Styela clava: one gene and its partner. The protein of the gene in region 1 purifies or fractionates together with the protein of each later gene. This does not show direct contact. Links are inferred from orthologs where the notes say so. Each region holds a gene or a part of one and is shown in the gene's direction. Other genes may lie near its edges.

Evidence for each region.
Region 2: the proteins of lupus La protein homolog (region 1) and RNA-binding protein RO60-like purify together in Homo sapiens (affinity purification with mass spectrometry; 3 studies listed by BioGRID and IntAct, with this or other methods). This does not show direct contact. The link is inferred for Styela clava from reciprocal best matches to the Homo sapiens genes SSB and RO60.

The regions. Positions count from the first base shown.
Region 1 is NC_135250.1:14,843,946-14,852,637, reverse strand, and holds the start of lupus La protein homolog, read left to right. Parts: upstream 1-4,802; 5' UTR 4,803-4,818; intron 4,819-8,692. UniProt on the Homo sapiens protein: Binds to the 3' poly(U) terminus of nascent RNA polymerase III transcripts, protecting them from exonuclease digestion and facilitating their folding and maturation.
Region 2 is NC_135256.1:17,385,756-17,394,129, reverse strand, and holds the start of RNA-binding protein RO60-like, read left to right. Parts: upstream 1-5,000; 5' UTR 5,001-5,184; coding exon 5,185-5,265; intron 5,266-6,391; coding exon 6,392-6,572; intron 6,573-7,347; coding exon 7,348-7,478; intron 7,479-8,271; coding exon 8,272-8,374. Other genes in the region: UMP-CMP kinase 2, mitochondrial-like, read right to left, coding at 1-1,246; uncharacterized protein LOC120327945, read right to left, coding at 2,448-3,191. UniProt on the Homo sapiens protein: RNA-binding protein that binds to misfolded non-coding RNAs, pre-5S rRNA, and several small cytoplasmic RNA molecules known as Y RNAs.

The DNA.
Region 1 (8,692 bases):
TAGGATATGTTAAACCGCGTGCCAACAATCGCAATTTTGATGGTGTACCACGCAACCCGTGTCCTCGATGTGGTAAACATGGTCATTGGGGCAGGGATTGCAAGGCATGTTTTAATTGCAAGCAGACTGGTCATCTTAAACGGGATTGTCCACATCTTCAGAATCCCGCTGATCCTGCAACAGCTGCTTCCTCTTCGACCGCAAATTTAAACGACACTCAGCGGGCTTGAGGTCCTCAGTGTCCGCTGAATTATTACTTGATGACGGACCAACGAACCAGAATATAGACCTGAATATTTGTTCCTTGCAATATGACAATAGTTGGCATGCGAAGGTACTTGTAAACAATCAACCGTTCAATTTTCTTGTAGATAGTGGTGCTATGACTACTCTGATTGACATTTCCATCTTTGAGGCTATAGGTGGGAAAGAAGCACATTTAGCACCGCTCGAAGAATCTCTTGTTGCAGTGGGAGGACATGATTTATCACCACTGGGTACATTGGAAGTTGATTTGTCTATTGATTCTTTTGCATCGCGACGCACGGTTGTTGTTGCCAACCTAGGTATGTCTAATGGTATTTTGGGCATGGACTATCTCCGAGAACATGATTGCGTTCTTTACTTATCATCTGGACACATGATGATAGAGGGTCATGAAATCAAACTGTTTACTGAAAAGTCTGTACCGTGTTGTCGTGTAACTGTTCGAGAAGATATTACGATACCGCCATATTCTAAGGTTGTTATCCCTGCACAACTTAGTCGTCCTTGGCCGAAAAGCAATTTGTCTGACGTTGCTGCTCTTGTTGAACCGCTGAATTCTTCTTTCCTCGCTGATGGCATTCAGCTGATTTCTTCTGTTGTGGATCCAGGAGAGTCCACTGTTCCTGTTCTAGCGGTGAACCAAAAAGGCAGACAACTTAAGATCAGGGCTGGATCTTTGCTTGGTATTGCACATCCTCAACTTGTAGCACAAATTCAAGTTGACGAATCCGATAATCGGGTTATAGCTTCTGAATTACCAGAACATCTACATGACATGGTCAATTCCGTTGAGGATCTAACCCCGAGTCAACGTGAACAGTTGGTCAATTTGATTTGTGAATTTCATGATGTATTTGTAGGGCCAGATGGTGAACTAGGCCGTACTTCAGCAGCAAAGCATAGGATCATCACAACCACACCACAGCCGATTCGGCAGGCTCCTCGTCCAATGGGGTGGGCACGTAGGAAGATAGCCGAAGAAGCTGTTGATAATATGCTGGCTCAGGGTGTCATAGAACCCAGCGATTCCCCATATTCTTCTCCCATTGTCCTAGTTCCTAAAAAGGATGGTTCTACCAGATTTTGCGTGGATTTTAGATTGCTTAATGACGTCACATACAAGGACGCATATCCCTTGCCGCGTATTGAGGATATCATTGAGTCCTTAAACGGAGCACAATGGTTCTCAACTCTTGATCTCGCTAGCGGATATTGGCAAGTGGAGGTTGATCCTGCAGACCGTGAAAAGACAGCCTTCAGCATCCCAGGCCGTGGTCATTTTCACTTTGTAGTGATGCCTTTCGGTTTGGCGAATGCTCCCGCAACATTCGAACGGATGATGGACAATATCCTTGGTGATCTACTGTGGAACGGGTGTTTCAATTTTCTTGATGATGTTTTGGCTCATGGTAGTGATTTCTCAATGGCACTCTCAAATCTTCGGGAAGTTTTTATAAGACTTCGCCGTGCCGGTTTACGCTTGAAGCCCTCGAAATGTAAACTTTTCCGTCGAAGCACCTCTTATCTTGGTTATCTTATTTCATCTGAAGGTGTCTGTTGCGACCCTGGAAATGTTGCGGCTATCAAAGAATGGAAAACGCCAAATTCTGTCAGCGATATTCGTAGTTTTCTAGGCACAGCGAACTACTACCGAAAGTTTGTTCAAGATTATTCAACGATTGCTGGACCTCTTATTCGATTGACCAGGAAGAATATTTCTTTTGTATGGGGTACTGAATGTCAAAAGGCTTTTGAAATTTTGAAGCATTGTCTGACATCTGCCCCAATTCTTAGCTTTCCGAGGACAATCGGCGAATTTGTATTGGATACTGATGCCAGTGGTTTTGGGATTGGTGCAGTGTTATCTCAAGTTCAGGACGACAATGAACGTGTACTTTCTTATGCCAGTAAGACTATGTCCAAGTCTCAACGTAGATACTGTGCTACACACCGGGAACTATTAGCTGTGGTGTGGGCTGTTCGTCACTTCAGTCATTTTCTTCTCGGGAGACCGTTCAGAATTCGCACAGATCATGCTGCTTTGAAATGGTTGATCAATTTTCGTGAACCTCAAGGAATGTTAGCAAGATGGATATTAACTCTTGGCGCTTATGACTTTAAGATTGAACACAGACCTGGCGTGAAACATGGCAATGCTGATGGATTGTCACGCCAAGTTCGCAAATGCAAGCGAGAAGATTGTTCTGATTGTGGTACCAATGGTGATGTGGCTGTGAGTAATGTTATTGTAAGTGCAATATCAAAACAGCCCGGTCAATCATCGTCAGACTGTTCCGATTGTAATTGGTTAAATACCTACACGGATGAGCAAATTAAATCTTGGCAAAGTGAAGATCCAGATATTTCTGCTGTTTTGAAATGGAAACAACTTACTGCTCAGAAACCTGACATTCAAGAATACATGCCTGAATCAACAGTGACCAAACGTTTAATGTCGCAGTGGGACTTGATTTTTGTAGATAATGGACTTCTCTATCGTCGTTGGATTCCTGATTGTAAATCGGAGGAATCGCATATCCAATTGATTGTTCCATCAAATTTGAGGCAGGACTTGTTTCATAAGCTCCATTCTTTGCGCACTGCAGGTCATCTTGGTGCTAATCGAACTTTCAAGAGTATAAGGCGCAGATTTTATTGGCCTGGTTTCAAAAGGGACATTCTGAAATGGTGCAAATTTTGCAAGTCTTGTGCTTCAACAAAGATGCTTTACGGAAGAAGACAGGGAGATTTAAAACAACTTATATCTGGAGCTCCTATGGAAAGGATTGCCATTGATTTTCTTGGACCATTGCCTGTAACTGAAAATGGAAATGAACACATTTTGGTTTTGTCGGACTATTTCTCTAAATGGGTGGAATGTTTTGCTTTACCAAATCAGCGAGCTGACACCACTGCTGATGCATTGGTTACTCAATTCTTTTCGAGATTTGGGGTACCAAGAATTCTCCACTCAGATCAAGGAAGAGACTTTGAATCAAAACTATTTTCAGAAATGTGTCAATTGTACGGGATTCAAAAGACTCGAACAACTCCATATCATCCTCGTTCAGATGGACAAGTTGAACGTTTCAACAGGACCATACAGCAGATGTTGAAAGCTTTTGTAAATGAGAATCGAAATGATTGGGACGACCATCTCCCATATCTTTGTATGGCATATCGCTCCACTGTGCATGATAGTACAGGATATTCACCGAACAAGTTAATGCTTGGACGAGAAATCGAGATGCCTGTTGATGTTATGTTTGGCAAACCAGAGTCATCAACTCATCCTTGTTACACTGAATTTGTCGAATGGTTTTCCTGTGCAACTGAAAAAGCTTTTCTTCATGCTAGGCAACATCTAAATGCTGCTGCAACCAGACAAAAGCGAAATTTTGATTTGGGTGTTAAACCACTTACTTTCCAGAGAGATGAATTGGTGTGGTATTATTATCCACCAAAGCATCGTAAGCTGAGTATTCCTTGGATTGGACCTTATCGAATTGTGGACTGTTTACCTAATCACTTGTATAGGATTCAGAAGAATTCGGGAACACGTTCTCGAATTGTGCATGTTGACAAACTGAGACCTTACCTTCATGAAGATGAAGAAGACAACGACATTGACTTAACCGGATTTGACATTTTACCTGATGTGGAACCTATTATGGAAAATAATGAGCAGGCTGCTCATGATATTTTTGATGAATTACCTTTCTCTTCAAGGCCAGACACTGTACCAGAAGAAGTTACAGTTGATGCGAACTCTGATAATGGCCAACGTACTAGGCGAAGGCCTAGATATTTGGATGATTACATTTGATTTGACTGTGATAGTACTTTTAACAATTGATTGTTTTGATTTTAGATATACATTTCATTTGAGTGTACAGTTCTTTGCAGTTTCTTCATATTTTTATGGTTTTTCAATTTTGAAGATGGAAAATTTCGTTGTAATTTCCCATCTGAAAAAGGGGGGAGTAATGAGACGACCACGTCTATAACCCCGTTTTATTCTGTATGCCCATATTTATTCTTACCACTTGAGTCATTAGTGAGCAACTGTGTAACTTTCTCTTTTAGCTGGTTTGTCAGAGTGCCGGCAGTGTGGAATTTCCTCTGTGTTTTAGGTTATTATTATAGTGTTTAGTGCCGTTAATCTGTGTAATTCTTGTTGTAAAATGATATTAGTAGTACAGGTTTACTATTTCTCCAGTTTGGCATAGCTCTGTTCACTAGTTAGCTTGTATTTAACACTTCCGTAACTAGTCTATTTTCGCAGTTTATTTCCTGTGTGATTTCTATGCGTATTTCCATGTATATTACGTGTTTGTCGATAAGATAGGATTTGTGTTGTATCTTTAGTGTCATACTAGCTATTCTTATGTATATCTAGGTATGTTTTACCCGGTTTTTAGTATCCCATTATAAGTAAATAGTTCATGACTGTGACGTCATAGACAAATTCCGTATCTTGTGTTACGTATGTATCCTACGGTATTTGTACTGTGTTTTTATTTGTGTATTGGAGTATTTGGTTGTATTAAGGTGTATAATTAATCTAGTTAGTTAACTTAGTTACTCTGCTATAATTGGAACCGCAAGAAGATTGTTTTGTGAACGACATCTATTGCAACTTCAGTGTCCGATAATCTGGCAGAAAGAACCTGAGTGGTGATATCAATTTTGGTACGCCACACAAACCTTGGGTGTCGCTGCCTGATAATCAGTTCCCAGCGATTTCCCTTTCCAGTAAAATGTGTGTCAATTTTACTTTTTTCATAATTTCGTTTGTTATTTTTACTGGATGGAAAAAAATAAATTTGACCTTGATATGAGTAGACATTTATACGAAGCCGTACTCCAGATGAGCAAGTAACTTCATTAGTCGTTATCAGTTACAAATCCTTTTTGAAAGTCGTGCTTGTTATTCCTCGGGTATTCTATCACCTAACTATTATACTTATGAATTTTATTACATAACAAACTGCGATACTGGGTGTATCTAAAATCAATCTTGCAGCCTATTTTGGTGCCTATTTTTCAAAATTGTCTCAGGGCGCTTAATCGCGCCCTGAACCCCAGCCTTTACGTCAGCCTTTTTTAGTCATCTCGCTTTACTGGCCCGCGAGTATCCTCGCCTTGATATTTTTGCCCGCGGCCAAATAAGTTTGGGAACCCCTGCTTTAGAGCCAGTGAAGTTATACATAATATACAGTTATCCCAATTCAAATCGTCGACCCACTGCCCTATCTCCCTCCACTTTCCTATTCCCGATCCGCTGCCCTCTCTCTCGCCTCGGCCAACTGCTCCACCTCCCTATTCTCGACTCGCTGCCCTATTTCCCCCAACCTTCCTATCCCCTCCAACCTTTTTATCCTCAACTTTTCTATCCTCGCCACTGCACTATCTGCCTCAAACTTCCCACCCTCAACCCACTGTCCGAGCTCCCTCAACTTACTTATCTTCGACCCACGGCGCTATACCACTCAGTACTTAACCTAACGGCGCTATAATCACGACTCGATCGTCAAATGAACATTACCATCATGCGACCAACTTCCATGTGTTACACTGGTCGAGTATGCCAATGAGAGGATTCAATCGTACGTCGACAAAACATGATTGACGGTATTCGTAAATGTAGGCTGGAATCTCAATTGGTAATCAATAACCATAATTAGTGGCTTAAAAATGTGCTACCAATTGGGCTACTGATGGCATCGGGTGTGGAGTCACTGTTTTTAAAACTTTAGCAGGGCAAAAAAAAAATTCGATATCGACATATCTGAGTTCCTTTCCAGAAACTCATTCAATGTCGCCTGTATTTCCGAGCAAGACAAAACAATGAGGAAATAATCAAATAAACAGTCAAAAATATAAGTCGCTCAATGAGTGTAATCCCTTCCAAACTATTTTTAAACCATGACATGTTTTGTCGTAGCTAGCGTTGCCAACTGCCCTTTAATTCAGCGTATATTCCCAAAATTGAGCTTATCTTTTCTGCAACTTAATGAAGTTGCAAAGGACGCAGTTCGTACGTAATTCTTGGCATCGCTTTTACTGAAAAATGTTGAAGAAAATACTTTCTACGGACCAGAGCACTATTGCTTATTTCGGATCAGCATCATGTTGTCACAAGACTCACGACATGGCCAACTATTAAGGACATAAAACGGCTTTTTTTTTTTTTTTTTTCTTTACTTTTACGGATCAGAGTTTTCTGGTCTCGGATCAGTGTCTCAAAGACACGTCATATCCGAGTCACATCGGTACTAACGCTTCGTAGTCATGTCGCGGGGTACACGACCGTCATACATATCTGGGAGCTTCCGTATATACTATGCATTGCACGGTAAAAACTTCGACCCCGAGCTTCTGTACATGCTATTTGCCAGATAGCATGACGTTAGCCCAGGGCTTCCGTTAATGCCATGCATAGCTCAACTTCCGCTGCCCTGGCTTCCGTACATACTGTGTGAAGACGTGAAGCGCGCGCACAGCATGACATCCACCGTGAAGCTACCTTTTCGTCATTTCCGTAGGGGTTGTGATGGTATTAGCAGTTTTACGCTCCCGTTTGTGGGGGGCGGGGATGCAGTTATTATGGGGGGGCTAAGTCGCTACTCTGTTCTGAAGTAGTAGAGTTTTCCAGTCTGACCTGAGTTCAAATATTTGGGCTGATCCAAGCGTAAGTATTACGTTGTCCAACTCTTTGATATACACTTTCTATATCGCAGACGGTTCCATATCTATTTTGCCTGTCTAATTCAATTTTTAGTTGGATGACTTCAGATTTTAGTACAGAGAAAATTTTGAGTACAACAAGTTGGTATTTATCTTCAAAAGTGTTGTCGAATATTTGTTGCCGACTTAATGGTAATTTGTGGCCTGTTATAATTTCCAGTGTTTGGCTAACTGAGTTATGAAGCTTTAGATATTGGGGGCACCTCAGAAAGATGTGGGGAGTGGTATCCGGGTTTTCTCTACAGAATTTGCAGTTCAATTTCAGCAAGTGAGAGTTTTCGTTGTTTCGTAATATACCAAACCTCCACTTCCTGTGGCCAAAGAGGTACCCACCTCTCTTAATCCTATATGACGTTTGTCGTTCGGCATTTGAAAAGTGTTGCTTTAGTCGGTCATCTGCTAAGTGTATTTTTGGCCATTCACATATTTCTGTTCGGTCGAATTCATAAGACTTTTCTTTCAACCTATTGTAAAGAAAGCGCAAGGTTGCTCCTTCCCTTTCGGATTGGCCAATTTCCATAATATAACCAATATTCAGGATATGCTGCCAGTGATGGTCAATGTGGAGTGCATGGGGTGCCGAGTTGTTGTATAGCGACTTGTCGAAGATTCTTATTCTCGCGCCGAGAGTATATAGCGCCTCGAAGTGCCAGAATTCGGTTGGGGCATTTATGCTAAGTATTGTGGTCAGTTTTTGGAAAAGACATGCATGAGATTTTAGTTTAATATCTATCATACTTATTCCGCCCTTTCTCACGGGAAGGAGCAACGTTTTCCGAGCGATACTCTCTAGGTATTCAGGATACCATAGATATTTAAAAAATATGGACTGAATATTGTTAAGGTATCGGCTTGGTATTATTCTTGTTTTAGCTTCCAGTAGTGTTAACGGTAGAGCGAGAGATTGTATTATCAAAAGTTTTCCACGCCATGTTAAATGACGCGACTTTGTGTTGTTTAAAATTTGGGTAATTTTACGAATCTTTTCATCTTGCACTTTGTATTTTACCTCTTTCCCGTTATAAACCCCCAAGATTTTGACGGTGTCGTGTCGGTATTTATTTAACCAATTGTCCTTTAAACGCAGTTCTGCCTCTTCATTTATACATAAAATTTGTGATTTTTCCATGTTCAAGGCTTGGCCGGTCGGCCGAATTGTTCTATTTTTTCTTCCTTTTTCCCGAGTTTGATGCCTCTGATGTATATATTTTTTGTTACGGCTCTCGCGATTGGTTCGATATTTAAAGTGTATAATAACATGCTTAGGGGGCATCCTTGGCGGATACCTCTCACGATATGGATCTCAGATGTGAAAGCTCCGTTTACTTCTATGGTACTTCTAATGTCCGAGTACAGGGATTTTATTAGATTACATGTTCTTGTTCCAACCCCGATTTTTGCTAGCAGCTTATGAATGAAGATATGATTGTCCATGTCAAACGCTTTCATTTGATCAACTGTCAGGATATATGTTGGAATTTGATTTTTTTGGAGTATCTAATTAGGCTTTCTATGTTTCTGTGAATATCTGAGATCTGTCTATTTGGGATGGAGGATTTTTGAGCCGGGTGAATTATTGATGCAAATTTGTGACGTAGGCGGTTAGAGATAATTTTGGCAAGTATTTTGTAATCAAGGTTCAAGTTCGAAATCGGTCTCCAGGATTTGATTTGAG
Region 2 (8,374 bases), on another chromosome or scaffold:
CTGTTTTTATTGTGCCACGTTTCAAAAGTCTATTTCTTCGTTCCTCATCATTTATCGTGAGTAGGAATACAGCATCAGGTTTTAAAAGATCCAAAGGCCACGAATAAACCCAGTGGCCTTCGGGTGGTAGACTTTCTATACCACCTACCCCAACATCAGTAGCAATAGCATAGGCTGCAGTGCTGTTCCAAAATCGATCTGCAATAACAATTCCATCATTAGCAGCTTCTTCAATCATTGCAGCAAATGCGTAATTGCCAAGGCTATAAAATGCTCTCCGAAGAAGTTGAGGATGAGAATCAAACTTTGGCCGCAGGTGGCAGATGCATTCTGGTGGCGATTTTAGAACTGTTGCACCAAGCTTTTCACCTAGGTTTTGTGTTAGTGTTGTTTTACCAGTAGCATCAAGGCCTTCAATGACAATCACAGGGTTTTTAGGTTTTAATGGGAGATTTTTCATCCAGTTTTCATTTTTTTTGATATATTTGTCACATATTGCTTTCAACTCCATGATTTCATTGAAAGAATCAAATTCGTTCAAAACGTCATAACATCGCTGAATATCATGATATACTGAATTTGTATCAGTGAACATAAAAGCTGGATGGACCTTTACTGGAGATGAAGCAATTAATTGAAACCCATTTAAGGTTATATTACTACCGCCTTCAGAATGATGACTGAGTAATTTAACATAAATTATGCCGTCATTTCCGCTTGGAAAAATTCTTAAGACTTCTCCGCTTCCCAGAGCACCACTTCGCGATACCAAATCAGAAATTTGCTTCTCAACACACCCTTTATCAAGTGAGTCATACAGCACAAAAAACCCACGTTCAAAATCCTTTTCATTGTTCAAACTGATACCTTGGTATACTTGATTTTTATCAGTAATACGAGTTTGAATGCTCTTTTTTAATTGTTCATGCCTATTTATATTTCTTGCAAAAGAATTATCGGTTAGAAATCCAGACAAATAGAACATGGATTTATCCTTTAGCAATGTTTGCAATTCTGTATTATCAGTAATGCCAATCTTATCCACATTCTCCTTATTTGATGTTTTCATATAAAGAGGTCCCTTTTCTGTCTCAATGCAGAAAATTTTTGATCCAAGGTCGGTTTGCATTTTGATTTGCGTAGCAACAGTTGTTAAAGTTTTAGAGAAACACTGATCGATTCTGAGGAACAATAATTTGCAAGAAAAATTTCCTAGAAATTTTCTCCATAAATTGTACTGGATCATAAATAAACTAATTTTACAATATTATTATAAAATAAATCTGGAATAAGATCAAAGGGTATTGGCAAGCATTTAAAATGATATAAGTTCTTCCCAAAATTTTTCTCTTCTATTTATGAAAATCATGCATACCGGTATATTACTCAGATCACAAAAGTACATTCGAACAACACATGCTGCATGATGAGATTGGACAAATATAAACTTTCACATTATGACAACATACATTATGACAGTATATTAAGTATATTTTGATTCCCTGAAAACGCATATACAGAACAAATCTATGAGTATGAACTCTCAAATAATTGGGAAAATCAGGAAAACTGGCAAAACAAAGGTTCTAAAACATAGAAATACATGCCAGTTGACCCATATTACGCACACAAACAATATATATATAAAGATAAAAAAGTTACGACATCTATCGGTAAGTTATGTAATGTAATGCAGACCCACTGTTCCAATATAAACTGTTCATGTCAAAGCGAACATGATTGGGCTGTGTTTATGATTTGGGATTTGTTTCCACCCCCCCCAATTACAGTACACGAATAATTAGATTGATGTAAGAAAATGTGGAATAGTATGTTAAATGAATACTGCGCAAGCAAAAATAAGAAAATTCTAAATATCTTAATTAAAAAAAAATTGTCCAAGTGGATAATATTATGCACACAAATAAAAAAAAAACATTCCTGAATTTTGATTTTAGAAACCTTTAATTTTCGAGTTTTTATTGTCAATTCAACTTTTGACTCATTTCCCAAACAATAACATTCTGAAAGGAATGAAAGTAGGGTTGAATTGATTTGCAATTCAATTATTTGCATTCTTGGACATATTTTCGTGAATATCCCATTGGAGTAAACTCTTTTCACATTGTTTAAAGATATAAGTTATCTCATAGGTGCACACTGTCTGTGAATTTTGATGTGGATTTTAATCTGCTTTTCAATATGGGTTACACGTACAAGGTTTCTCTCCACAACAAATCAATAAATTCCTTCGTATTGATGCCCTTTTGTGTAAAATTTTTCTGACATAGTTTGAAAGAATTACACTTGTAATGTACACGAATGGTCCAATTGTGAAAAGCCTTTTCCACATTGATCACAAACTTACAGTTTCTCTCCAGTATGAGTTCGTTTATGCACTTTTAAATTGGACCACTGTGAAAAGCCTTTCCACATTGATTACAAACTTACAGTTTCTCTCCAGTATGAGTTCGTTTATGCACTTTTAAATTGGACCACTGTGAAAAGTTCTTTCCACATTGATTACAAATAAAAGGTTTTTCTCCGGTATGAGTTCGCTCATGCACACGTAAAGCACATAATTCTGAAAAGCGCTTTTCACATTGTTTACAAGAATGAGGTTTTACTCCAGTGTGAGTTCGCTCATGCCCTTGTAAATGAGATAATCGTGCAAAACTCTTTCCACATTGTTTACAAACGTACGGTTTTTCTCCAGTATGAGTTCGCTCATGTGAATTCAGATGAGATGTTCGTGAAAAACGCATCCCACAGTGTTTACAAATATAGGGTCTCTCTCCAGTGTGAGATTGGTTGTGCTTGCGTAAATTAGTTAAATGTGAAAAATCCTTTCCACAAAGTTTACAGATATAGGGTTTTTCTCCGGTGTGAGTTCGTTCGTGCTTAAGTAAATTAGATATATGCGAAAATCGCTTTTCACATTGTTTACAAGCATGAGGTTTTTCTCCAGTGTGAGTTCGCTCATGCACTTGTAAATGGTATAATCGTGAAAAACACTTTCCACATTGCTTACAAGTAAAAGGTTTCTCTTTGGTATGCATTCTCATATGCCTGTTCAAATTCTGCTTTGATTTGAAGTTCTTCTCACATTGTTGGCAAATATATGGTACATCTTTACTGTTGGTTATTAAATTTAGCCTTGATCTAATGTTGCTATGAACAGCGGATTCCATAATTTACTGGTTGATATAATTTTCCAAGAAGCGGAATATCTAAGAATATTAGAAAATATTTTCATTTGGCACCCCGAACATTGTCATAAAATGTAGTAAATAGCTTTAATATTTTTATGATCAGCTTATAGCTTTCTTATCTTTTAAATGCAAATTTTGAATCGTCAGCTTGCTTTTCAAAGATTAGCTATGGCTTTTAGTGACATGTAATTTAGTATTTAAATGGTAAATACAACAAAACTTCCTAGAAGATAAGAGAATATAATATATATGTGTATATTGTAAAGTCCTTTAGTAATATGCATCATCAAAAGGAATCTGACGTAGTGTTCACTATAAGCGCACTTTTATGCCAAAACTGTGAGGTACAGTACCATACTTCTGCATTTTTATAAAGGATTGCAAAATCGCCGTTTTTCTTTTTCAAATAGAAAAAGTTGATCAATATGTAACAGTTCATGGAAACTTTTAAAACAACAATTTATGCAGCTGACAAATTAATCCCTCTCCAATGTTATAGCCAGATAGTATTATTGTGTAGAGATAGACTACCACAAATAATATATTTTAAACTCAACCTCGGACAACAAATAAAAAACTATTTTTGAATTTCAAATAAAACTTAAAGGGTATCATCTACTCCTACAGGCAACAACTGTCCTTGTTTCAATGAGGGACAACAAAAATTTATCTGATTTGCCTACAATAATACCTAAGCCGACAGCGAATCTTAGCAAGACACAGTCATGCAAATTGTCTAATTTCTGAACTAGGCTAGGACGATTCCTAACAAAAATACCCCAGCCTTATCTTATCTTACCTACTTTTCCAAGTGCAGTTTCAAGTATTCCATGGCGTCTGCAGCTGCCGCAAAACCATGGCGGTATTTCCATACCATAGCCGCTACGGCCAAACCTATGGCGACTGACTTTTTAGCTGCCACAAACCAATGTCGAGCTGCCGTTACCGCGGCAGCAAATTGAAAACCAATGGCAGGTAAAATTTTGCTGCCGTAACCGCGGCAGGTGGGCCGTAAGGACAGGGCTGTCCCTTATGGTGACAAATATTGGGTAAGTTGGAACGTTTTTCTTATGAATACAGTCTTGATGGATTTGGGGTTAGGGTTAGGGTTTAAGTAGATATACTTCCGCATGATCAATTAGAATTTGGTACATTAGTTTGTGAATATACCGTTAATACTGATTACTGAATACAGAATAGCGCTATAAGACTATGGCAAGAGCTGCCGCGGTTCGTTCGTGGCAGGAGCTGCCATGAAGTGGTAAGAACTGCGCCTCTACTTTTCTAAATAAGCAAGAATCACCATTAGGTTATTTGGGAAACTGGTACCGGTAAAATATTAGAAATCTCTGAAAAATCAGCACAAAACATCTCCGTAAAGGTAAATCTAGCTGGTCTGAAATTAGAGCTAACAAACATACGGTATACCGGTACCGTACCGTACCGGTACCGACAAAACGAAGTTAGGCACTTTCACGACGTAGGTACCGGTACGTACCGGTACCTAATATTAGATACCGGTACCGGTAACTGTTTTCTAATCATTTGAATTCACCAAATGTCTGAATGTTTATAAGTTATACCGTACCGGTACCAGTTTAGTCGAGAAGTTACGGCGAGCTCGAACAACACGACAAACTGACAAGACGCAAGTTTCGACAATTCGAAAGCAAGGTATCGGACAGTCGGACACACCCGCTAAAAGTCGGGGGACACACCCACTTTCCGCCGGGCAGCATAATCATGAACCCACGTGAGTGGCTACGCTTCAGTGACAATATTACCGACACCGATACTGTTTTCTCCCCATTCTCAGTTTGTGGCGGATATGCTTCGTCCGCATTAATTGCATTCCAACTTTAGTCATTTCAGTGCGACTTCATGCGTCTGGAGCGACTACATTGGTTTTTAATCTTTTAAAATCGTATACAGGCTTTTGCGGCATTGATTGTATGAGAGGATTAAAAAAAATATGGCAAATAGCGCACAAGAAGACAAGGGGGTGCTAGCGGACAATTTGAGGCCGGACGAAAGCACTGAATTCAAATGGCCGGTAAGCTTCGCAATAGCTTATAAGTTATATTCAGTACCGGGTACCGGTACAATTAAATTATATTCTAACTTTTTATAATAGGGAGATTTTATTAATGCAAATATGGAAAATTATATCATTATGTTCAACGTGTTCTTGTGTTATTTTCCAACAGAACACCAAAACCACTATTATAGCAAGAATGGTAACTCTAAAATTCATAATTGTATTTGAAGAATTTTCAAGTTCAAGGCTTCAATTGACAATTTTGATGATGTCACACCTCTAATTATTTCTTCACATGCCCCCTCAATGCAAAAAATGTTATTTTTTCGACGGAAATGCGCGTAGAAAGACGTAAACATTCTAATGCGCGCCGTTACGTGTGAAAATTACCATTAATTTTACTTTTTTTTTTTCACGTTTAAAATTTCTCTATACCTACTCCAAGTATGGTGCAGTCATATCATATTTTTCAATAAAATCACAGGGCCAGGGATGGAATGTATGACTGAAAGTACATGATAAACTAATACTAAGCCATTATAAGGGAGTTTATTGTTAGTTCATTTCCTGTCTCAATCACATCAACGATTTTAAATGTGGAAATCGATGATATTTATAGAACTGGCATTATCAGCGAATTTGGAGTCCTATTTACGTGAAATATACGACTCTACTATAGAACCTTAACTGTAAAAGACCATTATTCCCTTCTAGAGTTGGACTAGGCATGAATTATACTGTGCCTATGCCATCCGACATAGTATGGTTTTAACTTATTCAATTGAGTTTTGTTTTTGTTTTCTTTTTGTTTTTCTTGTGTGGAAATTTATTTGCAGTGTGTGTTACTTTAGCTCAATTTCGTTGACAAAATGGTAATTTTATATTTTTTTAAAGGTTGTGACTAACTCGATGACCTAACGGTCGCTTCGTCACATCCTCGTCACAATGCCTTGAAAATAATTTTGAAATGTTGTATGTATACTATTTGACATTGTTGACGAAATAAAATACTACTACTACTATGTTGCAAAAATTATGATTAGCCTATGTGAAATATCTCTGAATAAAGACAAAAGGCAATACGTATTGTCAATACTGCAATATTTTATGAAGTAATTCAGATTTTTTTCTCTTACCACAGGTGACTTCTAACAGCAAAGTTTGGAGATTTTTATTAAATGGCAACACGTCTTCTATGGTTAAACATTCATCAATTTTAACTGGAATAAATTCAGAAGAAATTGATAAACTTCTTTTTCAAACAATCGAAGATGGAAAAGGAATTGAACTTGTAAACACCATATACAAGGTTTTTTCTGAAGGTGATCTTCGTTGTGATATATTCTTGCACATTCCAAAATATTAACAAAATCTGTACCTAAACCACAACATTAGCACTTCTTTGATAAGACCATATTTCAAGTTGCATACATACAGTAAATCGGTAGTCGAACACATTTCGTTCAGGATTGGTGTTTGACTCTCCATTTGTTGGAGTATCCAAACTTTTTGTCAAAAGGAACAATGGTGAATATTTTAATTCATTCTTGCACATTCCAAAATACCTAAAATATTAACAAAACATGTAGCCTACTTAAAACAGCAACATTAGCACTGCTGCGATAAGGTCACATATCATGTCAGTATGACCTTGAATTTATTTCCCATGGTTGGGGACTCCCAGAAATACACCAGATCTATGGAATATTAACTGTATCATTTTCATTCATTCAATCTTAAAGTACCATGTTTTACGTAAGGTGATAAAAGTCAACAAACCTATTTGAAATATGTTATAAAGGATTCACAGCTGTATTTAATTTCGTTATAAATCTAACCTATATGATATTCGTACATTCTCTATTTCAATTTTTGAAGCAATATGCTAATGCTTGTTTTGTATCATATGATAATATCTTAAAGACATGATTCATAGCATATTATCATTCAAGAAGTGTTCTGGTACCTGCTGCAATTTCGTTTTTGTAATCATGTGTATTGCTCATTTCTTTGTTATATTTAGGATAATTTTTTCTCCAAACTTATGAGATATATATGAGAATATGATATCTTATGAGAATAACTCTTATTCTACAGGTACTTCAGTCAAATATGAAGCTATCGTTTATGCATTGACTTTATGTACTTGTTCGGAAAATGCTGAGGTGAAGACTAAAGCCTACGGTCTTGTGAATGAAATCTGTGATCAATCGTCACATTTTTTACAGGTCAGTTTACTACTCTTAATAGCATTCAATATATCCCAAAAATTATTTTATATGATGTTTTGTGATTCTTGTCTTTTAACAGAAACTGAATTGGTGTTAATAAAGTAAATGCTAGATTTCTAGTAATAATATGTTTACATTGAAGTTAGTGTTACTGTTACATAAGATGTATGAAGAATTCAATAAATTCAAAGTTAGTTGTGTATGAAAAGTCGTTTGAAATTCCTGTATTTTCAGGCAAATTTGTTATTTTCATGGGTAAGTTTGAGAGGGCCTAGACTTGTAGCATGGTTGTTTATTTGGGGAAAATTCATATCAGACTCCGAAACAACTCTAGCTTGGTAAAAATTCAGATTTGTTGAAAAAAGTTTCTTCAGAGAAAACCAAATAGCAAAAACTTGCGATAATGTGGGCATTTTTTTTTATCTATATATGATGAAACTGCTATTTGTACGATTTTTGAGTTATATAAAGAATTTTGAATCTCCAATGCATGGAGCCTACCTCTTACTCAGCTTCTAACTACTATTATTTATGTCAATAACTCCAAACTCCACAGATCCTTCTTGCCGAATTTTTATAAAATAAACTATTTTGCAAGGATTTGCCAAATATGGAATTTTAGAATTTTTTCTTAAATGTTGTAATTAATTATTCATAAAAAAACTTTTTGAAGCCAAATGAAATTGAATATGAGCTTGGGCATTCTCACATGTGACTTGATTTTTATACAGGACTTTATTCACTGCATAAATATTTATTATAAAATAACTCTTTATTTATATAATTACAGTTTGTTGACTTTCATGAAAAGATCTGCCTAGCGAAACGTAAAACTACCGGTTGGAGTCGTTCGCATAGAAATGCTGTCCAGAAATGGTATCAAAGAAAATCAC